Diceros bicornis minor: one gene and its partners. The protein of the gene in region 3 binds, or shares a complex with, the protein of the main gene of each other region. Links are inferred from orthologs where the notes say so. Each region holds a gene or a part of one and is shown on either strand. Other genes may lie near its edges.

Evidence for each region.
Region 1: RBM10 (region 3) and MYSM1 share a complex: the UniProt entries of both Homo sapiens proteins name them as parts of the large chromatin remodeling complex. The link is inferred for Diceros bicornis minor from reciprocal best matches to the Homo sapiens genes RBM10 and MYSM1.
Region 2: RBM10 (region 3) and KIF11 share a complex: the UniProt entries of both Homo sapiens proteins name them as parts of the large chromatin remodeling complex. The link is inferred for Diceros bicornis minor from reciprocal best matches to the Homo sapiens genes RBM10 and KIF11.

The regions. Positions count from the first base shown.
Region 1 is NC_080752.1:20,399,602-20,407,584, forward strand, and holds the start of MYSM1 (deubiquitinase MYSM1), read right to left. Parts: upstream 3,031-7,983; coding exon 2,948-3,030; intron 2,752-2,947; exon of another isoform or gene 2,258-2,751; coding exon of another isoform or gene 2,241-2,257; intron 1-2,240. UniProt on the Homo sapiens protein: Metalloprotease with deubiquitinase activity that plays important regulator roles in hematopoietic stem cell function, blood cell production and immune response.
Region 2 is NC_080745.1:58,334,301-58,341,976, reverse strand, and holds the start of KIF11 (kinesin-like protein KIF11), read right to left. Parts: upstream 3,012-7,676; 5' UTR 2,741-3,011; coding exon 2,664-2,740; intron 1-2,663. UniProt on the Homo sapiens protein: Motor protein required for establishing a bipolar spindle and thus contributing to chromosome congression during mitosis. Required in non-mitotic cells for transport of secretory proteins from the Golgi complex to the cell surface.
Region 3 is NC_080781.1:40,956,099-40,963,950, reverse strand, and holds the start of RBM10 (RNA-binding protein 10), read right to left. Parts: upstream 3,043-7,852; 5' UTR 3,028-3,042; coding exon 2,763-3,027; coding exon of another isoform or gene 2,732-2,762; intron 850-2,731; coding exon 708-849; intron 1-707. Other genes in the region: NDUFB11 (NADH dehydrogenase [ubiquinone] 1 beta subcomplex subunit 11, mitochondrial), read left to right, coding at 3,588-3,794, 5,352-5,482, 5,653-5,779. UniProt on the Homo sapiens protein: Binds to ssRNA containing the consensus sequence 5'-AGGUAA-3'. May be involved in post-transcriptional processing, most probably in mRNA splicing. Binds to RNA homopolymers, with a preference for poly(G) and poly(U) and little for poly(A).

The DNA of each region.
Region 1 (7,983 bases), on a different chromosome or scaffold from region 3:
TGTTGCCAATTCTGTTGCTTCTCAAACCTTTTTCAAATCAGTCCTTCCACCGTATCCACACTACCTCTGAGGTCCTGCAGTTTCAGACCTTATCATTTTCCTGGGTAAGTGTACATGAGATAAAGCTCACAAGCCATCCACCTTCTCTCTTCTATCTTTTTCTACTTATCTCCATCTGGCATACATAAAAAGTTCTATGAGAGCCAGGACTCAGTTTTGACAACTGTTACATACCCAGGGCTTGGTATATAAAAGGTGCTTAATCAATATTCGTTGAATGAACAACTGAATGACGTAGGTGGGGCATGGATCATACAGGTCTCTAAAAGTTAAGGAATGAAGATTTTATCATAAAGCCAAGTGGGGATTAAAGGGAATAACATGATCAGATCTGGATGTAAGAAAGACTGCTCTAACTTCAGGAAAGAACCGAAGGGGGCTTAAGAGACAAGGAGCAGTTAAGAGGGAGTGATCTCATAAATACCAGAGAGAGGTGACAGTAACAGACCTAGCGAACAGACAGTGTGACTAGGAAGTGAATACATTTGAGAGGATACTTAGAATCAACAGACCCTTAATAAGTGATAGGCTAGAAGGAGTGGAAGAAGAGAGTAAAGAAAAGGGATAAAGTCTAGGTCTGTGCCTTGGGCGAGTGGGTGGATGGTGCCATTCATTCAACTAGGGAACTTGGAGAGGCAGGTTTGGTGGGGAAAGTTCATAAGCTGAGATTGAAGTGCCTGTGGAACATCCAAGGGCAGACAGATTTCAGAGAAGTGGATAAACGGATCTGAACCTCAGGAGAAAATTTGGGTTGGTGACAGATTTGGCAAACATCAGCATGTTATTAGGTGGAACTTAGAAAACTGCCATTTTTGTAGGTCAAAAATTGGCAAAATTTCATATGGTCCAACCTAAGAGATAGAAATTTAAGTCTTCTGGATGACCTCACCAGGGACTGTGTGGTTAGTGAGAAGTCTTATGATAAAACCCCTAGAAACACTATGATTTAAAGGACAAGCAGAAGAAAAGGAGGACAAGAAGGAATGGTAAAAGCAGAAGGGAAACCAAGAAGTGTCAATGCCATCTTCTAACTCTGGTACCGAGCACTTAGCAAGTACTTAAAAGTGTGTTTTCAATTAATCTTCAAGGGTTCCACAGATGTTATCATCAGCTGTAACTACACACTGCAGGGTGCATCATTCACACTAAATTCCGTATGATCAGAGCCCCAACACCAGGGAGCACCATTCACCAGAATATAATGTTATTGGTGCCCCTCGGAGTTGTGTAAAGCAATGGCTCTGACCATCAGGAACCAATAACCTTTGTTTTCCTGCTTGCATGAGACTAGGGAGGTCACAGGTGCCACCAGTAGACCTAAGGCTCAATCAAGACAGCAAGAGAAAGGAAAGAAAAAGAGGAAAGGGAGAAAAATTAAACACAATCAGAAGAATAAAGAAGAACCCGTGGAAAAAGGGTAGAGCCAATGCTCTCAGATGATCTTTAGTGTTTCCAAGCCCAACTCATTTCTCTAGAAGCATCCTTGCCCACTCATCTCATAGCCCTGTTGTGACAAGTAAATTAAATCATGCATGCAAAGCCCCTGGTCAAGATTAACTCCTCTACACAAATGTGAACGATGACTGTTATTAAAGGCTTCTACTCATCTGTATGACTTTGGACTGCTTTGCCTCAAGATTTGGGGGAGAACGACTATATGAATTTAATTACTCCTCACATTTTTATAGTGCTTTAGAGCTCAGGAGAACTTGAAACCCACTATCTTAGTCCCTCCTGGGCAGGGTTAGTGCTCTTCTCCCACAATTTACAGAGGCCCTAATATTAGGTGGGACCATATGAAACTGACATTTTATAGGTCAAAAATGGTCTAAGATTGGCAATTTCACATGGTTCAACCTAACAGACTTCTAATGAAGTTGTTCATAGTTACAAGCAACAGCTGACGGAGTTTAGAACTGAGGTCTTCTTATTCCTGACCAGTCTAGGCCTCTTCCATTACTAAAAGGAGACTCTGGAAGCACATTTCAAAATGGTATCAATTTCTTACTCGAAAGGCAAGCAACGGGCTAGATCTCTCAAGCTGGAGGTTACAGTGTAAAACCACATTGGCCTGCTCTGCAGGAATAGCTATTAAATACACTGTGACCCCTCAATGAGTCCTCACAATACCATCTCTGAGGGTAACGGGATGGTAAGGAACACACTGACGGAGCACCTACCGTATGCTAAGGCACATCCCATAATTATTTCATTGGATCCTCACAGTAACAGTCTGAAGTACGTATCTTGATTGTCAGTGTACACATGAGCTGTCTGAGGCTCAGACCAGTTAAACGTCTGGCCCAAGGTCACACTGCTGGTTACCGGCAGGGCCAGCCAATGCAGGAGAAGCCAGAGCCGTCCAACTCTAAAGCCCGCCCCCTCTCCTTGAAGTCGAGCTGCCTCCCAGGAAGTTTTTCACAACTATCCCCATGTGGAAGAGGAAAGCTGTGCCAGGAGGGATGAAACGACACGCCCAAGGTCACACGGCTTGCAGGCGACGGCACAAGGATCCCCGGGCTCAGGCCCAGTCCAGAAGCCGCCCTCGTTCTAGTTACTGTCGGAGGGGGCGAGGGGGCGAATGCTGGGGTGGAGGTAACGGAAAAAGGAATCTAATCGCTGGATGGGGCGCACAGCCGGGCCAGGTCGGCGCCCTCACACATCCAGCGAAAGGTGAAGGAGCCCTCCGGCACCAGCCCGGTCCCGCCGCCGGGCTCAGGAGCGGCCGGCAGGCGGATGGGCGCGGCGCTCCCCGGCCGCCGGAGACCCCGGCCCAGGGGACGGTCTCCCGCTCCCCCGTCCCCGGCCGGGCCCGAGGCCCTCCCAGGATACTCTAATCGCTTCCCCGCCCTCCCCGTCCCTGAGAGACCCGGTCTCTACGCCTCACCCGGGCTGTGCCGCCGCCGGCACCACGTCCCCTTCAACATCCACATCCGCCTCTTCAGCCGCCATGATGGGACCTGACCGCATCCGGCATCCCGAGAGATCCCGCGAGAGGCGGAGGGCCTAGGGGCGGGGCCGACGCGTCACGGGGCGGAGTCGCAGCCTCGTCCAGCCCCTCCCGTGGCGGGGAGGCGGGGCTTCCAGAGAAAAGCAGCCCGCTGCAGCCCAGGCGCGGTCTTTCTGACTTTAGTGACGCGCGAAGACCTTGGGAAGTGGCTTAGGCTTGGGCTTTGAAGAGACCATGCGCTTGCACAAATTCTCTGGCGCCTCACTTCTTTCATTTGTAAGATGGGGATAATAGTAGATATCTTTCTGGAGTGCAGGAAAGGGCACGCCAGACCTGCTTTGAACCGTAAGGTGGCAACAATGAAGGACCCTTACCTGCTTCTTTTCTTTTTTTTTTTAAGAAAAGGATCGTTCGGCACTTATGTGAAGCGGTGAACAACTTTTATTTTAAAATTAAGCAAACATTTAAGAATATAATTTATGATTGCATGTTTTATTTTGTGGAAATCTTTATAATTAACGAAAAAATTACTTTCGTCTCGTCACCATTGATCTTTGCAATAACCCAGTGAGGTAGGCAGGACTGGTGTCATCAGTCACACAGATGAGGAAACTGAGGCTCAGAAAGCTGAAATGACTATGAGAGGATACACAGCTATTCAAAGACAGGGCTGGGACCACAATCCAGCTCTCTTGACTCTTTACTGAGTGCTCACCCTCTACAAATCGTGTTGTTAGGAACTATGACAGATAAACACCATGTTTCTCAAAGAATTTATGGCCCCTCAAGAAATTAGATATTGGCCTTATGTATTCTTCTACCTTAGTATCTATCACTCACATTATTGTAACTGTTCATTCGCTTGTCTGCCTCCACCACTGGACTGTGAATTCTCTCAAGACAAAGGCTGTATCTGCTAGTCTTTATACTACCAACATTCAGCATGGTGTCTGATACATAGTAGGTGCTCAATAAATATCAAACTGATGAACGAATGAACCAATAAATCAATGAAATGAGTTCACTTCCCACACTATTCTGGATTTGTCCCATCTCACCTTTGCTTGTGCTCAGGGCATAAGATGAGCTGTACTGTGAATGTGATGGCAGAAGGTAGGTAGAAAGATTTGTAAAGAGGGAGATCCAGTGCTCAGAAACTGGATAGTGCCCTAGCCTTAGGCCACCGTGGGAATGCTGTTCCTGTTGTCAAATGGCTTATCCAATGATCAGTCCCAATGGTAACTGGCATACCTGGCACAGAGTAGGCATTCTAAGATGTTTGATGAATTTAATTTAGAGCAAGGTTAGAAAGATGTACATGGCCAGATAGTCAAAAGAAATGTCAAATACACATGCTTTTAATTGATCTTTACGTAGCAGGCTGAGATGGGAACCCTAGCAGGACAATCTGGATACACATGATATCAAATGTCTCCTAGACCATAAAACAGAATACCATGTGAACAGCATCTCCTGCAATGCAGCACTGGAGGTCTTCTGGCCCAGTGCCAGACATCAATAGGCATTAAAATATATGTGGAAGAAAGGAAAGGCCTGCACAGAATTCAAGTATACCCCCAAGGTCTTTAGATGAAGAGGCCTCCCTAAACAGGGAGACTAGTCTGAAGCCTTCCCATACATACCCCACACCATGCTCCTGGTTAGTTAGCTTTGTGTGAAATAGGTTCATAAGTGTCTAAGCCCAACTCCACCTGCCAGGATAGGGCTATAACCTCACAGTCAGGTGAACTCTTGACTGAGGCCTGGCTACTATTTAAAATTCTCTTTTCTAGAGGTCTGCAACTCTGTGACTTGTTTAAAGACCCATTTTCTCACCAAGTAGTTTGAAAGCAGGATGAAGAATTCAGAATTCATATTTCACAAATACTTTTTGTACTCCTACTGTGCTTGATACTGGGGAAATGGCATTGAACAAGATGGACTCAGTCTCTGCTCTCGTAAAGTCTATCAAACATGCAATTTCAAGATGATATAATAAGTTCTATGATGGAGGAGTTACAGGCTGCTGGGGGGGTCACAGAGGACGGACACTTATCTCAGAATCAACCCTTTGCTGTACCACATTTTTGAGGAGGTTATTGATCAGTCAAAATTTGAGAGTAATGTTCTAGACTCGGGAATGCAAGATAGAAGACTCTGTTCCTAACTTAGAGAAAGAACAAATGGAAAAAGATTAGCAGGAATAGTGCCTGGTACTTATACAGAGCTAGGAATAGTGCCTATTCCCACTGACCAGACTGGAAAACCTCATGATTCGTGAAGCACTGGGTAGATAACTCGGAATAGTATTGCCTAAGTCATGGAGAATAATAAGCTCTGGGTGGAGCACTGCTCTGGTACTGCCTAACAAATCTTCAAGACAAGATCTGAAAGGATCAAACTGTTTCCAGGTAAATGTAACTGTGCCCTCCCTCCCCAAAAAATCTCAAGAATATTTGTAGGAATACAAAAATTCCCAGCACCCAACAGAACAAATTTCAAAATATCTGGCATCCAATTACCAGGCATGCAAAGAAGTAGGAAAATATGACCCATAATAAGGAAAAAAAGTCAATCAATTGAAACCCATCCAGTACTGACACAGATGTTAGAATTAGCATACTAAGACATTAAAACAGTTATTTTAACTATATTCCATATGTTCAGAAAGTAGAGACATGGAAAATACAAAAAGGAATGAAATTGAATTTCTAGAGATAAAAACTACAATGCCTGAGAAGAAAAATATACTGGATGAGACTAGTGGCAAAGTAGACATTGCAAAGGAAAGTATTGGTGAACCTGAGCACATAATAAAAGAACTATCTAAAATGAAACACACTAAGAAATAAAAAGGTTAAGAAGTGTACAGAAAATCAGTGAGGACAACTTCAAGCCTCCTAATATATGCGTAATGGGAGTCTCTGAAAAGTGAAGGGTGGGAGGTCAGGAAAAATATTAGAAGAAATAATGATTGAAAATTTTTCCAAATTTGAAGAAAACTGTAAACTTACAGATCCAAGAAACTCAAGGAACCCCGGGCAGAAGAAACATAAGGAAAACTACACCAAACCACACTGTAATCAAATTGCTCAAAACCAGTGATAAAGAGGAAAACTTTCCAGAGAATAAAGGCATGTTACCTACAGTGGGAAGATAAGAATGACAACAAACTTATTGTTGGAAACACTGGAGGTAAGAAGATGGTGAGTCAATATCTTTAAATTACTGAAAGGAAAAAAGTCAGACAACTTAGAGAACTGTACACCTACCAAAATATCTTTCAAAAATGAAGGCAAAGTTAAGCCTTTCTAAGACACAAAATCTGAAAGAACTCGTCATCCTATCTTTACAACAAGAAATGTTAAAGGACATCCTTCAGGCAGAAAGAAATGATAGATGAAAATCCTGATCTGCATAAAAGGAGGAAGAATGCAGGGAATAGAAACTACAGTCACATGCCACATAACAACGTTTCAGTCAAGGATGGACTGCATATACGACGGTGGTTGCATAAGATGAGTACCATATAGGCCGGGTGTGCAGTAGGCTATAGGATCTAGGTTTGTGTAAGTACACTCTGTGATGTGTGCACAAGAACGAAATCACCTAATGGAGCATTTCTTAGAACGTATCCCCCTCGTTAAGCAATGCATGACTGTACATGGTAAATATATAAGATTTTTTCTTAGAGTTTAAATCTCTTTAAAAGAGAGTTGACTGTTTAAACAAAAATAATAACAATGTAGTGTGAGATTTATAACATATGTATAATTAAAGTATATGACAACAATAATATAAAGTCTGATGAGAAATGCAAGTATATTATGTAAGGTTATTATATGAAGTGGTATAATATCACTTGAATATGTTATCACTGTGATATACTACAGATGTATTGTATAAACCCTAAAGTAATCACTACAATAACAAAACAAAGTTGGCTTGAAATGTGGACAAACAAAAAAACAAAATAAAATCTTCTCTCATTTATGCCTTATGTTTCCTATGGGCACTAAGCTAATTATTGAGAATTCCCTTCTCTCCACATCCTCTCCAGCACTTGTTGTTTTTGTCTTGATAATTATAGCCATTCTGACGAGAGTGAGGTGATATCTCATTGTAGATTTGATTTGCATTTCCCTGATAGTTAATGATGTTGAACATCTTTTCGTGTGCCTGTTGGCCATCTGTATATCTTCTTTGGGGAAATATCTGTTCAGGTCTTTTGCCCTGTTGAGGTGTATGAGTTCTTTATATATTTTGGAGATTAATCCCTTATCAGATATATGATTTGCAAATATCTTCTCCCAAATGTTGGGTTGTCTTTTCATTTTATTGATGGTTTCCTTTGCTGTGCAGAAGCTTTTTAGTTTGATATAGTCCTATTTGTTTATTTTTTCTATTGTTTCCCTTGCCTGGTCATACATGGTGCTTGAAAATATTTTGCTAAGACTGATGTTGAAGAGCATAGTCCCTATGTTTTCTTCTAGAAGTTTCATGGTTTCAGGTCTTACATTCAAGTCTTTAATCCATTTTGAGTTAATTTTTGTGTATGGTGTAAGATAATGGTCTACTTTCATTATTTGGCATGTGGCTGACCAGTTTTCCCAACACCATTTATTGAAGAGACTTTCCTTTCTCCATTGTATGTTCTTGGCTCCCTTGTTGAAAATTAGCTGTCCATAGATGTGTGGGTTTATTTCTGGGCTCTCGATTCTGTTCCATTGATCTGTGTGTCTGTTTTTGTGCCAGTACCATGCTGTTTTGATTACTATAGCTTTGTAGTACATTTTGAAATCAGAGAGTGTGATACCTCCAGCTTTGTTCTTTTTTCTCAGGATTCCTTTGGCTATTTGGGGTCTTTTGTTTTTCCATATAAGTTTTAGGATTCTTTGTTCTATTTCTGTGAAAAATGTTGTTGGAACTTTGATAGGGATTGTGTTGAATCTATAGATTGCTTTAGGAAGTAT
Region 2 (7,676 bases), on a different chromosome or scaffold from region 3:
TTTGGTAACCACTGCTAATAACTAAAATGCTCTTAACTCGAATAATGAACTCTGAAGTCTTTATTTTCCAAGTTGTCCTTTCTCTAAAATATCTTTTGCTGATTTAATACAGAATAGCAATTCTGTTTTCCATTTGCTAACTATGGTGTCATACTGGGTTATTGTTTAAGGAAAGTTGGTCTGGGCCTTTTTAAAAACACACTTATGTACTTTTAAATATACAAATGAGGGGCTGGCCCCGTGGCTTAGCGGTTAAGGGAGCGCTGGCGGCCCGGGGTTCGGATCCCGGGTGCACACCCACGCACCGCTTCTCTGGCCATCCTGAGGTGGCATCCGACATACAGCAACTAGCAGGATGTGCAACTACCACATACAACTATCTACTGGGGCTTTGGGGAGAAAAAAAAAAAAAAGGGACAAAAAAAAGGAGGAGGATAGGCAATAGATGTTAGCTCAGGGCCGGTCTTCCTCAGCAAAAAGAGGAGGATTGGCATGGATGTTAGCTCAGGGCTGATCTTCCTCACAAAATAGATAAATATACGAATGATTCAGGTACGTTAAGACCTAAATTGCCTAAGCACCTGTCTAGATCAAAATGCCAAGAATAACTTAAATCCAGAAACTTTTACATTATCTTAATAGGGCTTGTGCCAACCTGTACAGTATACAAAGGGGAGGGGTGTTTTGTGTATTTGTGTGTATAGGTGTGTGTCTTGGTATATACATATATCAAAGCATATTTCCTTATTAAAATCTCTCTCTCCATTCCATCAGTTCCTCCATTCCAGAAGTTATACATTTATCTTGAGCTGTGTATAACAGAATAAAAAATTCTCTTCATACAGTTATTGAACAAGTAAAGAACATCATAAAGATTGTATTCATTGTAATCAAGTAATGAAGTTCTCTCTCCTCTCTTGAAATCTTGCTGACCTCTTGGGCTACAATAAACTGTGCCAATTAAAAATTTAAAACTGAAAAAAAAAAATTAAACAAGAATATGTGACAGAGACCATATGTGGCTTGCAAAGCCTAAAATATTTACTATCTGGGCCCTTTACAGAAAAGGTTTGACAACCCCAAAGGGCCTCACAAGTTGTTTATTTACTAAAGCTTAAGAACATATTTGCACTGGGAAGGCTATTTGAAAAAGAAAAGGCTAACCTTAAAAGGAAAAAAACCTCTTTATACTAAAATTATTGTAAATATTAGACACAACCTAAGCGCTTTCTATTAAAGTTAGATGAAGTAAAAGAAATCTCTTCTAAAGCAAGGCTTGAAATGTATGGGGATAATAAACATGAAGTTCAGGATAATGTTTAACTCTTGGAGGTGGAAGAGGGATGGGGAGGAATACAGTGGGCCTCCAGCTGTCACGACTTTTTTGTTTCTAATCTGAGAGATGGATACACAGATGTTTGTTACATCGTTCTTGATTACTTTTTATAGGTCTGATATATTTTGTAATTAATAACAAAAAAGAAATTAAAGAAAATAAAACCACACGGAAAGGTAATACTGCCTGGCTTTATTAAACGATCAAAGTAATCTAAAAATTTGCATTTGTAATATGGGCTGTTGATTTTTTTAAAATCTTCAAAACAAGCAACTATTAACAGAAGCCCTTGAGTGCAACTGGTAATTGGCTAGATTTAAGGTTACCACCAAATTTCCTCTCTGGTACCTAGTTTAGAAAGCTAGCTATTACCTACAATTCAAGTCACAGAATCTGAGTTAGCAATAACCTAAGAAAGTTTGTTGATACATTTTTAAAATAACCTTTTAATTTTAGAATACTTTTAGTTTTACAGAAAAGTTGCTGATAGTTGGTAGAGTTTTTTAAACAACAGTAACAAAAATAGACACAAAACACACACCAGTAAACTGGAGGGCCTCTAAAAAGCTGAGTAAGTCAATCTCTAATTAAGTAATAGCTTGTACAACAAGTATGTTCTTCCTCTACTAGCCCATTTCAAAATTGGGAAGTTATTTGGAAATCAATCAGGGGAGAGTTGAACACCTCCACCCACCCACCCAGAAAAAGCTGTCTCCTTTAGTCTAATATTAAGTTGTAGCACAATCAGATAACTATACTGGCTTAAGTTGTCTCCGTGATCTTTTAAAAACATAAACTCACTCTATAACTTAATATTTAAAATTTAAATACAGTGATGTTTACATGTTTAGTAGCGATAAAGAAAATACTACATCTAGAATAAAGAGAACAGGTGACTGAATACGCTTTTACAGATGATGGAGAGGACAGTAATCCCAACATAAGTGCTAAAACATCTACAAAGTAGGCATGCAGTCTTATTTCCAAAATGACAAACTGCAAGGAGTAGCATAGAAAAGTGACACCTAAATCTTTGACATTAGTTAAAAAAACAACGCACTTGTCACTCAAGAAGGACGATCAAATTCTCCTTCTGAATAGCAGTTTAAACTGTGACCTTCAATACAAATATCTTTTCTTCTGAAAAAGACACTAATTTACTCCTTACAGCAACCTGATGCCATTTTATCGAAGAGAACGCGGAGAAGTATGAAACAGGAAGGTTTGGACCCTCAGACACTGCAAACAAACTCCCTCTCTTCGGACCGCGCAAGAGGGAACCCAGCAGCAAAGCCCGGCCCTCGGAACCCTGCAAGGCTCGCCCTACCTGCATCTCACCACCACCTGAATGTTCTTCCCCTTCTCCTCTTTCTTCTTCGCGGACGAATTCGGCTGGGACGCCATGACGGTCCCCGCCAAAAAAATCAAGGCCTGGCCGCGGACTCGGGCGCGGTATGGCGAGGAGGGGCTCGGCGGCCGGCGCGGGCCGGGATGCCCACCTCCCCTGCGAGTGGTGGCGTGGCCGGGGGAGCCGACGCAGGGAGCTCGGCGTCCCGGCTCTCTACCCGGGGCTCTGACTGGCCGTGGCGTCTGTCTCGCACCAGCCGGAGCCTCCGAGTCACCAATCTCTTCTTCGAACCACCAATCTCGTCTCCGCCCGAAGCCCGAGAAACCGAGCAACGACTCGGCGCCTTAATTTGAACAAGGAGCCGACTCGCCGGGCCAATTGCAGCGCGGGCGCGCAAGGCACCATGGGACGCAGTGTCCTCACCGGTGCCCCGCCCTCAGGGCGTGGCCAGCGGGAGAGTAAAATGCTGGTCTGGTGGTGCCTGCCTGGACCTCATAGTCCCGTGGGAGAGAATGCAGCAGTAAACACTGTGAGACCTCAACGTGTTCCTGCTCAAATTACATAACGTCTCTAAATAAAATTTCCTCATCTGCAAGATGGAAGTAATAGCAAACGTCTCAGAGGGTTGTGTGAGAATTAATGAGCTAATGCGGGTAAATAGCTTAGACTAGACCATGTAGTAAGTGCTCAGGAAGGCTGGTCATGATTATGATTATTTTTAGAGTTGTAAGTGAGTGCTATGGGAGCAGAGGAGAGAAGTCAAAAGCGAGCCCCTTTCTCGGAGGCAGCGTTCACAATAGTCTTGAAGAATGATTAGGAAGTGTTAAGAGATAAGGCTACCACGGGTACCAAATCGTGATGAAAGGGACATTGTCATTTTTAAGACTGAATTTATCCTTTAACTGATGAGAGCTCCTCATCGCTAAACGATTCCAAGCAAGAAAGCCAGATCAGATTTTCGTTTTCGGACAACAGTTCTGCAATGACTGATGCAGGCTCAGAGCGCGCTGCCGTCCATCTGCATAGCGCAGCATCCAGCAGGCGTCTCAAGGAGGTAGCGCAAACGCCCGCCGCCGTCGGCCTACAAATCCCAGCAGGCAGCGCTCCCTGCGTCGCGCCTGCACTTAGTGACCTGCGGCTTCCGTAGGTTTACTGTGGGCGTCTTGGCAGTATGCCGGATGACTCCGCTGCTTTGGGTGTGGGTCGCCTGTCCAGGAAATGCTACATCAGGGGCCTATTCCGTAGTCTGCTCAGAGAGCTGCGCTTCTGGGCTACACTTAGCCCACAGGAACCTAGATATCATTTTAGTTCTTTAAGTAACAGACAAATGGAAAGCTCTCAGGCCCCCTTAGTGTTCCTCCACTTACTAACCTCCTACCTTGCCCCTAGGAAACATCTACATCTACAGCTCAGATTTGCTGGTCATCTCCATTCTGCATAGCAGGATGTCTACTGATATCGCCTCTTAGATGGCTCACCAGCATCTCAAGATGGACCTATCCAAAATGGAACTGTTGGGGCCGGCTGGTGGCTTAGCGGTTAAATGCGCGGCTCCGCTGCTGGCGGCCCAGGGTTCCTATCCCGGGCGGGCACCCACGCACCGCTTGTCTGGCCATGCTGAGGCGGCGTCCCACATACAGCAACTAGAAGGATGTGCAGCTATGACACACAACTATCTACTGGGGCTTTGGGGGGGGAAAAAAAGGAGGAGGATTGGCAATAGATGTTTTAGCTCAGAGCCTGTCTTCCTCAGCAAAAAGAGGAGGATTAGCATGGAAGCTCAGGGCTGATCTTCCTCACACACACAAAAAAACAAACAAAATGGAACTGTTTATCCCCCTTACCTGAATGCTAATCTTTCTCCTGTAGACACTTGGCGCTAACCAGACCTTTGATTCCTCTGTCCTCCGTGTCCAGTGCAGTCCTGCTGGTTTTATCACCTCTGCCCACCACTCTAGTCCCACTCTCTTTTATCTCTTCCTTGAACAACTGTCCTTAACAACCTCCTTAACCAGTCTCTCTGCTTCTGCTCTTTTCTTCTTTCCTCACTGCGTTCACTCATCAAAGGGAAGGATCTTTTAAAAACGAAAGAGATCATGCCCTTCATCTACTTTTAACCTTACAATAGCTTCTCATTGTACTTAGAATAAAACTCAAACTCTTTGCCATGTCCTGTAAGGCCCCCATGTTCTGGCCTTTGCCTATAGGTACGTACCAACATCAACTCCAGCCGCTATCCACATAGCTCACTACCATGATCCAGAGCTTCTAAGCTCTTTCCTGCAGCCAGGCCTTTGTATGTGCTATACCCTCTGCCTAGAAATCCAGTCTGGCTCTTTGCATGGCTTACCCATTTTCATCCTTAAGATCTCAGCTCAACTTTCTCTTTAAAAAGGGCTTTCCTGACCACCCCATAAAGCATATTGCTCCTATAATTTTCTGTCTCAAGACCCTGTTTATTTCCTTCATAACACTTACTAAAATCGGTAATTACATTGTCAGTGTAGTCTATCTTGTCAGCATGTAAGTTTCATCAGCGACTATGATTGTCTTACTCAATGTTTTTTCCCAGTGTCTTGAACAGAGCTTTACACAAAGTAGTCACTAAATAAATATAAGAGTACCTGAAGGAAATTCCTTAACCTCTCTCAACCTTGGTTTCCTTATTTGTAAAATGGAGATAACAATGATTACTATTATTGTAAGGATTAAAATAATAATGTGTATAAAGTACCTGGCAAATAGCAGGCCAAAAAATGCTAATTTCTTCTTCTTTTCCTTCTCGTTAGTAAATATCTAAATAGTATTTACATTAACAATCATTTGGGTTGATGCAAGAAATTCAGGAGTCTCCATTTCATAAGAGTTATAGCTACCATTTACCTAAGACTACCATGTGTCAGACTCAATGAAAAGCTTTGTGGACATCCTCTCATTTAATCTTCAGAACAACTCTCTCTTCCCACAATTTTCTCAATAGACAGGCAAAATAAGTATACTGTCTATAGTCATACAGCTAATAAGTGACAGAGAAGGAACTCAGAATCTTGCTGATTCTAAATCCCAGGTTGTTAATTGCTATCCCCCTCACCCAATTTTTTCATGTGCTCAGTGCTTCGGCACCCACTTCATCATACCCTTATTGAGTGCTTACTATGGGCCAGGCAGTGAAGAGATAGGGTGAATTATAGTTCCTGCCCTCAAGACTAAGTCTAGTGGAGATGGCCAGGGTCTTACGGACATTTGTAAGAGTTTTGTTACACCAGGCAGGTGGCTATCTCTGATATGTTATTTTATACCGCCCCTGTAGAGCTCAAACTACTCAAGCTAATCAACACTTCTCTCTTGAAAGTCTGCCCATGATTAGAAATTATTTTTAATACTCTCAGAATAGTTAACCTGGATTCTACCAATGCAACATCGTTGACCATGTGCTTGATCTGACATTTCTCTTTCAAGAGTGTGTGTATTTCTCGTATAAATTATTTTTAATTAATTTTTATTTTTCTAATAGTAAAACATGGACATCATTTTAAAAGTTAAATAGTTGTAAAGGGCTTATAACAACAACAAAAAAGATATTTCCTAATGTACTACAAAGCTCTAGTAATCAAAACAGCATGGTAGTGGTACAAAAACAGACACACAGATCAATGGAACAGAATTGAAAGCCCAGAAATAAAACCACACATCTATGGACAGCTAATCTTCAACAAAGGAGCCAAGAAGATACAATGGAAAAAGGAAAGTCTCTTCAATAAATGGTGCTGGGAAAACTGGACAGCGACAGGCAAAAGAATAAAAGTAGACCATTATCTTATACCATACACAAAAACTAATTCAAAATGGATTAAAGACTTGAAGGTAAGATGTGAAACCATAAAACTCCTGGAAGAAAATAGAAGCAGTACACTCTTTGACATTGGTCTTACCAGCGTCTTTTCAAATACCATGTCTACTCAGGCAAGGGAAACAAAAGAAAAAATAAACAAATGGGACTACATCAGACTAAAGAGCTTCTGCAAGGCAAAGGAAACCAGGAGCAAAATGAAAAGACAACAACATATATATATGTATATATATATATATACATATACATACACAATGGAATACTACTCAGCCATAAAAAAGACAAAATCGTCCCCTTGGCAACAACATGGATGGAACTTGAGGGTATTATGTTAAGCGAAATAAGCCAGACAGAGAAAGACAAACACCGCATGATTTCACTCATGTGTGGAAGATAAAGACATGAACAAAGAGAACAGATTAGTGGTTACCCGAGAGGAAGGGGGTTGGAGGGTGGGCAAAAGGGCACATATATATGGTGACAGCTAAAAATTAGACTATTGGTGGTGAGCATGATGCAGTCTATACAGAAACTGATAAATAATAATGTACACCTGAAAGTTCACAACATTATAAACCATTATGACCTCAAAAAAATTTTTAAAAAGTAAAAAAAAAAAAAAGCAAATTACAAGGAAGTGTACCATATCCATTTCTAAAAATAAAATAAATCCATCATGGGAAAAAAAAAACCCCGATATTTCCCTGCCTCATTCTGTCCCAAACCCTCCAGACCTCCACTCCAGAAACAATTACTTTCAATTCATTTTAGCTTTTTTTCTAGGATTTACTCATTTCCATTTTTGTAAGGAATTTGTATATACTGCTACTCTTTGATTAATCAATTTTAAACTTTATTTATTCACTTCCTGTTACGAAAGATGAGGATTTAGTTCTCAAACTTTACCATCCCCTCTGCTTTACTTTCCCCATGCACTCAATAATACAATTTTTGTTAAATCAAAAATCTGTATTTAGGTTATTATGCCTATTCACAGCTGAGCATTTCAGTCTAGTGAGATTATGTTTCCTTTCTTACTTTTTGTCTATCCCAGGTTAATAACTGCCCAGTTTTGTTTGATTAGTTTTCCTCACACTTTTCCTAATTATTCCTAAAGCTCCCAGTAGACTCTCAGTAAAATT
Region 3 (7,852 bases):
GTATTTTACCAAGTGTCCCAACTGTTTCTCATTTGTACCAGAGTTTAAAAATAACTGTACGAGAGTGTCCTTTCCAAGAGAAGTATCATACCAACTTCAGCCCACCCTGTCCCTGAAGTCTCCCGCTATCTGACCTGGCTTGCCCCACACTTGTCTTGGACAAATTCCTGACTCTGAAGGCACCAGTCCCATCTACCCCTCAAACCCAAAGCTACAGCCCACAGCTCTCCCCTGAGAATCCACGGGCACTTACAACCCCCCACCCATCTGCCCTCCACCTCTGCCTGTCCTCCTGCAGTGGCTGTCCACACCTTGGTGAATGGCACCACACACCTCTCTGGGTCAACCTAACTGGAAACCTGGGTACTAGCCTCCATTCCTCCCTTTCTCTTGATCCATTCCCACCCTCACAACCAACCACGGCACCATGGCACCCGTCAAGCTGTTTTGAACCACCTGGAAACTGTGTGGTCTCCCTTGTGAGACCCTGAGTAAGAAGGCTGCAGTCTTATCGATCTCATTCACCACTGCACTCCCAGAGCCTAGCACAGCTCCTGGCTCACAACAGATGCCAAATAAATGTCTGCTGAGAAAACACCAATCATCTGCTGTGCTGTTTCCTCTGCCTGGAAGCCCCCTCCTAGCACCTTCTTGGATCAATTCTCACATGGGGACAAGCTTGGTAGTGGTGGGAGCGGGTAACTCACCGTCTTTCATACTCCATGTCCTGATAGGGCCTGCGGGGACTGTTGGGGCCCCTCCTCAGCCGCTGGCTCCGTTTCACTTCCCAGCTGCCCCCGCTGCTGCCACCATGATCTGCCAGCCTGGGTGATGTCTCCTGCAGGGACTCTGGGGAGAATAGAAGGAAGAAAGGGGTCAAGGCAGTTGGGGCAGAGAGGGCCTCCTTGAGAAACCCTCGTTGTCAAGGCTCTCTACTGTCCTTTAGCCCAGGGATGTTGTTTTCCAACTCCTAGTGCTCCTGTGGACCAGATTGGGAAGGCAGCCCCTACTTGACCTGCTCCTTCCTTTCCCCACAAATGTGAGGCTAGAGCTCACTACCCTAGAAACAGCAAGGTCTTCAGCAGAGAGGGAACAGACTTCATGGTGCCACCCATTCTGTGACCAGGGCTTTGCTGTTTGAGACTGGTAGATGAGTTCAAGCCCGGAGCTACCTGCCCCCCGGGGGGGCTCTTGGTGCTGCATGATTTGTCCGAGATCAGGCACATTAGTCATGCAGGCAAGACTTCACAACGGGAGTCCCAGTCTCCAGGCTCCTTCCATGGGCCCTCAGGTATTTCATCCTCCCAACAAGATGCTGGCTGCCCCTTACAAGACGGTGGGAGAGCATGAAAGGCTTAGTGGGTGAAGGGGCTAACTTGGCAACAAGATAGCTGCAAGGCTTAGTGGGTGAAGGGGCTAACTTGGCAACAAGATAGCTGCTGCCTCCCTGGGCTCCTGGCCAACACAGCTTTGGCCCTCACGCGGCAACTGGCTCAGCCCTGAGCCCCGTCTCTTATGTGCAGCCAGGTCCCAAGGCGGCTCTCTCCCCGGGGCTCTAAGCCCAAGTTATTCAGAGGAAAAAGGAGTCCTTTCGGAGGCTGTTCCAAACCACTGTGCTATTCTGCTAGGATGGAAGGGCAGTCACTTCACCCAACCCTGAGGGCTGCGGTGAGAACTAGGAAGTCCTGAGAGCCACGTGACCCGCCCAGGGTCATCACGAAATATCCCAGAATCTTCAGGCCCCGCCCTCTGAACAAGAATCAGGCAAATCCAGGCAGTAACAGCACCTGCCCAACACTAGGTTGCCACCACACCTTTCCTCCATGTACAACACACACACACACACACACACACACACACACGAATTTTCTCTTCCTCCTCAAGCCACAGGGAACCAAAGTTACCTGCTCCCAGATGGGAAAAAGTTAGAATCACAACCAGGGGCCCCAGTGGATGAGAGCCAGATACAAAACCCTCAGTAGACTCCGGCAAAGGGGCCAGAGTCACACATTGCTATCCACAACAGATAGGGACCAAAGTCACATACACAGGCCCGGAATAACCGCGGCCCCAAATCACAGACAGGAACCCACAATAAATCCGGGCCATAATCATACACTGAGACCCTCTTTCAATGGATGAGTGTCAGAGTCAAAGATACAACCCCCCAAAAGAAGGGGCAGTAAGTCATACATACATTCCTTGCACTCCCTCCCCACCCAGTAGGTGGGTTAGGGCCAGTCGTAAGAAGACTCCCTATGGTTAAGGACTCCTCCCCGTGGATAAGGACCAGAGTTACAGACACAAGGATAAAGACTAGAGTCATACAGACGTTCTCCCTCCTCCCCCACCCAAGAATAAGGACCAGAGCCACAAAACACTTCCCCATGGATAGATAAGTACCAAAGTCACACAGAACAGACTGCACACCCCCTCTCCTATGGATAAAAAGCAAAGTCGCAGACACCCGCTTCCCCACGGATAAAGTTCGGTGTCGCGGCGTAAACCACAGCGGCCCACTCCCATCCGTCCCTCCCTTCCCCCAACCCGCGTGCACCCTTCCTGTGTCCCGATCGCGCACGCGCCTCTGCTCCCAAAAGGAAAAAAAAAAAAGACCCCCTCCCGGGCTCAGACTGTGCATGCATCCCTCGGTTCCACGCGTAGCCCAGGCCCGGGCCCGCAGTCCGCCCTCCCACCTCCTCTACACCCACCCCCGCCCCCGGCCCCTTACCTCCGCCCCCACGACCAGCGTCGACGCTCACCTTCTCGGCCCGGGCTGTCAAGGGAGGGCTCCCAGACATCACCTCGGCCCGCCGCCACCTCCTCCAACTCTCTCAGCTCAGCCGGAGCCGGTCCGGGCAACAGCCAAGTTCGAGGCTGGAGGCGGAAGGGCGGAGGAGGGGGGAGGGGAGAAGCGCCAAGAGCGCTACCCTCCCCGGGAAACCCACTGCCGCCAACTCCCAGCCGGCCGCGATCACCAGCACAAAATGGCGACGACGAGAAGCGAGCCGGCGCTTCGACCACCATCCACCTACTAAGGGAGCGCGCTCTGGCCGGCCTCATCTATTGGTCGCCGTCCGCCGTCGGCCAGCCCCTTCCTGCTCTGATTGGCAAGCGTCTGCCACCTCCCCACTCCCGGTGCGAACGCCCGAAGTCGAGAAAAGGAGCAGCTATTGGCCAATCCGGCAAGGCCCGCTTTTTAGAAGCTTGGCTTCCTTAGAAGATGAAAGACAAGCGGAAGCCCCGCCCCTTTCCCCAGAGGGCAAGGGAAATGTCTCTGCGATTGGCTGGGAACTGAATCCACCCAAATGTCACCGCTTTCTTCTCAGCAAGGAAATGAGCAGACCTCTCAGTCCGAAATTCCACAGCCTGACTGAGAGGATAAGAAAATGGTTGCTACCATGAAGCCATGACAGAGGGAGGGAAAGAGGGCTACTTAGCGCCTCACTCATTTGAAAACGAAATCCAGACTCGGGACATATTTAGTGCGGCCGGGGCGGAGCGACAGTTATCGCGCTCGGGCCAACTGCAGCTGCGCAGAGTTGCATTTCCGTCCCCGCCCCTGAGAGCCTGCAGAACAATCTGACATGGCGGCCGGGCTGTTGGGTTTGTGCGCTCGCCGCCTTTTGGCAGCAGCGGCGACGCGAGGGTTCCCGGCTGCCCGTGTTCGCTGGGACTCAAGCTCCTCTAGGGCTGTGATCGCCCCGTCCGCTGTGGCGGGAAAGCGGGCGCGGGAACCCACTATACGCTGGCAGGAAGACCCAGATCTCGAGGACGAAAACCTCTATGAGAAGGTGAGAGGGAGAGGAAAGGGGACGCCGGAAGGGTCAATCAGGGGCCAGCGGACGGGGAGCGGTAGAGGACGTTCTTAGGTGGCTGAGGATTGCGCAGCTGGCGAAATCCTCAAAGACTTGGGAATTTTGCCTACCTTGTTTTCCTCTTTTGTCCCCTGATAATCTTCAGTTCAGGGCCAGAGGCGAGATTGGCCTTATTTTGCAGACAGATGTCAAACTTGAAGTGGGCAGTGCTCAAAACACATTAGAAGCAATATAGCGTAACGACAATAATACTAAACATTGATATGGAGCTTGCTCAGTGCCTGTGTTCTAAACGCTTTACTTACGTTAACTTTCTAATCCTCAAAACAACCTTATTTCGAAGTAGGTGCTATTGGTATACTCATTCTACAGATGAGAAAACTGAAGCATAAAGATGTTAAGTGACTTGCCTAAGCTCACATAACTGAATGTGTGGCGGAACCAGGTCTGCTGTGCTGTATTGATAGCAGAGCCTCTGAAATCAGAAGGCCTAGGTTGGAAAACAGGCACTGACAGTTGCTCACCTATGTGACTTGGACAAGTAGCTTACCCTCTTGGTGCCTCAGTTTCTTTATAAAATGGGGAAAGTATTAGGACAGCTTCTAAAAAATAAAATATTACACCACCTCATGTAATTAAATGAGTCAAAATGCTCAGCATTGGCACTTAGTAAGTACTCAGCATTAGAAGGTGTTAATTATTGTTGCCACTTTCCACCTCACTGAGATATTGTGAAGTTTGCGTATGTGAAAGGCCTGGCACATAATAGGTATTTCATCAATACTAACTTCTGCTGGAGGAGCTTGGACGTACAGGATGCTTGTTCACTTGTTCATTCATTCCGTAAATAGTATGGAGGGCCTGTATATGCCAGGTGCAGTTCGGGGCCCTAGGGGTTCAACAGTGTGGAAATCAGATAAAGCCCTTGCTCTCATAGCTTATATTATAGTGGAGAACACAGAAAATAAACAAGTACAATATTTGGCAACAGTAACATAGAGTATGTAATTGATAATAATATAAGGTTAATATGATACAGGATCTGAGGGGATGCTTCTTTGGTAAACTAATAAATGCTAGAAAGAAAATGAAGCAGGATAAGTCCACGGAGAGTGACTTGGGGGTAGGGGGCTATTTTATTAGGTTGAACCATAGGAAATTGCCAATATTCAACCATTTTGACCTATTCAACCTATGAAAACCAGTTTCCTGTAGTTCAAATTAATAAACAATGTGACTAGGAAGGGAATGCCTCCTAAGGGAAGTGATGATGAAGCCAAGACTTTGATGGAGGCGACAGATCCAGCCATGACAAGATCTGGGGGAAAGGCTTTCCAGGCAGAGGAAACAGCATGTGCAAAGGCCCTGTGGTGGGAAGGAGCTTGACAAGTGCTAAGAATAGAAAGAGAGGAATTTAGGGAGGGAGGGGAGATTGGTCCAAGATGAAACTGGAGACCAGCTTATGCAGGGCCAGCATAAGGCTTTGTGGAGCAGCAAGAAGCCCTCATCGACTTCTTCTTCTCCTTGCCACAGAACCCAGACACCCACGGTTATGACAAGGACCCTGCTGTGGACCTCTGGAACATGCGGGTTGTCTTCTTCTTTGGCTTCTCTGTTGTCTTGGTCCTTGGGAGCACCTTTGTGGCTTATCTGCCTGACTACAGGTGCATGGGGTATCCAAGAGAGTGGGATGGGTGGGAACAGAGGCAGGGGTAGAGATCGAAGGGGACTCTGCCAGGAATCCTGTTCCTGCACCATTGGGGAATGGGGAGCTAAGATGGGGATTGGTGTCCAGTGAGGCTCCCTCACATCTGCCCCACGCTGCTGCCTCCAGGATGCAGGAGTGGGCCCGCCGGGAAGCTGAGAGGCTTGTGAAATACCGAGAAGCCAATGGCCTCCCCATCATGGAATCCAACTGCTTTGACCCCAGCAAGATCGAGCTGCCGGAGGATGAGGACTGACCGGTTGCCTAGTGGGGCTCAAGGAGCACCACCTTCTCCAGCCCCTGCCCACCATTCTGCCCTCTCCTCAGAGCACCTAATTAAAGAGATTGAAAACCTGGCTGGTGTTGATTTTGTTGTGAGGGAGATGTGGGAGTGGGAGTGTCAGGCCTTAGAAGGGCCACTGCAGCCTTTTCTGGGTCTTCTGATTATTGCTGTGCAACAAACACCCTAACACTTAGTGGCTTAAAACAACAATTTAGTATTATCTTTCATGGTCCTGTGGTTGACTGGGCTTGGCTAGGTTCTTCTTGGGGTCTTGGCTGGTTGCAGTCAGATGGTGGCTGGGGCCGGAGTTATCTGAAGGCTCCACTGGGTTGGATGTCCAAGATGGCTTCTTCACTCACTTGTCTGGCCCTTCAGTTTTCTACAGGGCCCTCTCCCCAGCAGAATAGCTTGGGCTTTTTATATGGTGGTTCAGGGCTCTTCTGGATGGGGGTGTAGCATATAGGAAGAAATTGATGACGGGGGCCAGCCCGGTGGCGTAGCGGTTAAGTTCATGTGCTCCACTTCAGCGGCCCGGGGTTCACGGGTCGGATCCCAGGTGCCGACCTGCACACTGCTCATCAAGCCACGCTGTGGCAGCATCCCATGTACAAAAGAACTAGAGGAAGACTGGCACAGATGTTAGCTCAGGGACAATCTTCTTCAAGCAAAAAGAGGAAGATAGGCAACAGATGTTAGCTCAAGGCCAATCTTCCTCACCAAAAAAAAAAATAAACAAAATTATTAATGAAAAAAAAAAAAAAGAAATAGCAGCCGTCTTTAGGGAAAAGCTACCACACTGGAACCTCCTACGTTGGCAGAAAGGCCAGAGCGCCCAGGGATTGAGGGTGGTGGGTCAGAGCAGGGCTTTCTATTGCTGAGGATGAGTGTTTGTCTCCCTCCCTGACTTCTGTTTCTCTCTGGGCTTGGAGGTTTCTGCCTCTGTGTCTTGGTGAGTCTGGATGCTCCTCTCTTTCCTTCTGCCCTAAATCTGGGTGGTCTCTAACTCAAGATGCACACCTGTGTGTGTGTGTGCGCGTGTGTGTTTCTCTCTCTGCCCCCTCCTCTCTGTCTTTCTGTGTCTTTCTCTCAAGCAGGAGGTCTCTCCCCACACACCCCCTCACTTCTCTCTGGGAATAGGCTGTTTGCTTGCATCCGGGGCTCACTCTTTAAGCCTCTCTCTCGATCTGCATCTGGATCTGGATCTGGATCTGGCAGATGGAGTAGGGACTTGGTCTGGGGCTGGCTGTCTTTTTTTTTCCAGGGAGCCTCTCTTAGATCCCTGTTAAATCCAGATGCCTGGGCTCCCCTTCATGCCCCTGGCATCTCTGCCTTCTCCCTGCTGGACCCACCAGCAGAGGTGATGCCCCTACCCCTAGCTCCTGAGTCTATTTGTATGTGACTAAGGTGGGTGCGATGTCCACATGAACCTTCCTGGAAGTGAGCGGTGTCACTCCCTGAGTGCTTCCTTGTGGGGCCAGTCTCCCAACTCAGGATAGGCCCCAAAGCAGAGAATACTAATGTGTAAAGGGAGCGCTCTCCACCCTCCAGCCTGCGGTTACTGGGACTGTGGAAGTGACAGGCATGTTGTCCCAGCCACCAAGTTCCTGAGCATATTGAGGTACTACTCCCTGTAATAAACCTCAGCCTGTTGCAGCCATGCCTCACCATTGGCCCAGAGAACACATCACCCCACCCACCCCCACCAGGATGTAAGCTCCATGAGGGCACGTATTCAGCTGTCTGTTCACTTAGAGCCGAGATTGGCACAGCATGTGCTTGCGAAACGCTGGTATTGTTACTTCTGGGGTGGGTGCCGTCCCCTACCATCAGTGCCCTTCAGGCTACGGCCCCTGAGGATGAGCACTTCCAATCCCCCAACTCTGCCCCCTCATCAAGCTCTCAGGCTCTCTAGAAACCTCCATTCTGGGCCATGCCTTGCCCCCTTTCTGAAGGCAACGATACCACCTTCCTCCTCCCTCATTGGGGCCCTGCCACACTGGCCACCGCTTCTTTTCTTAAACCACTGAATTGAAATGTACATACAGA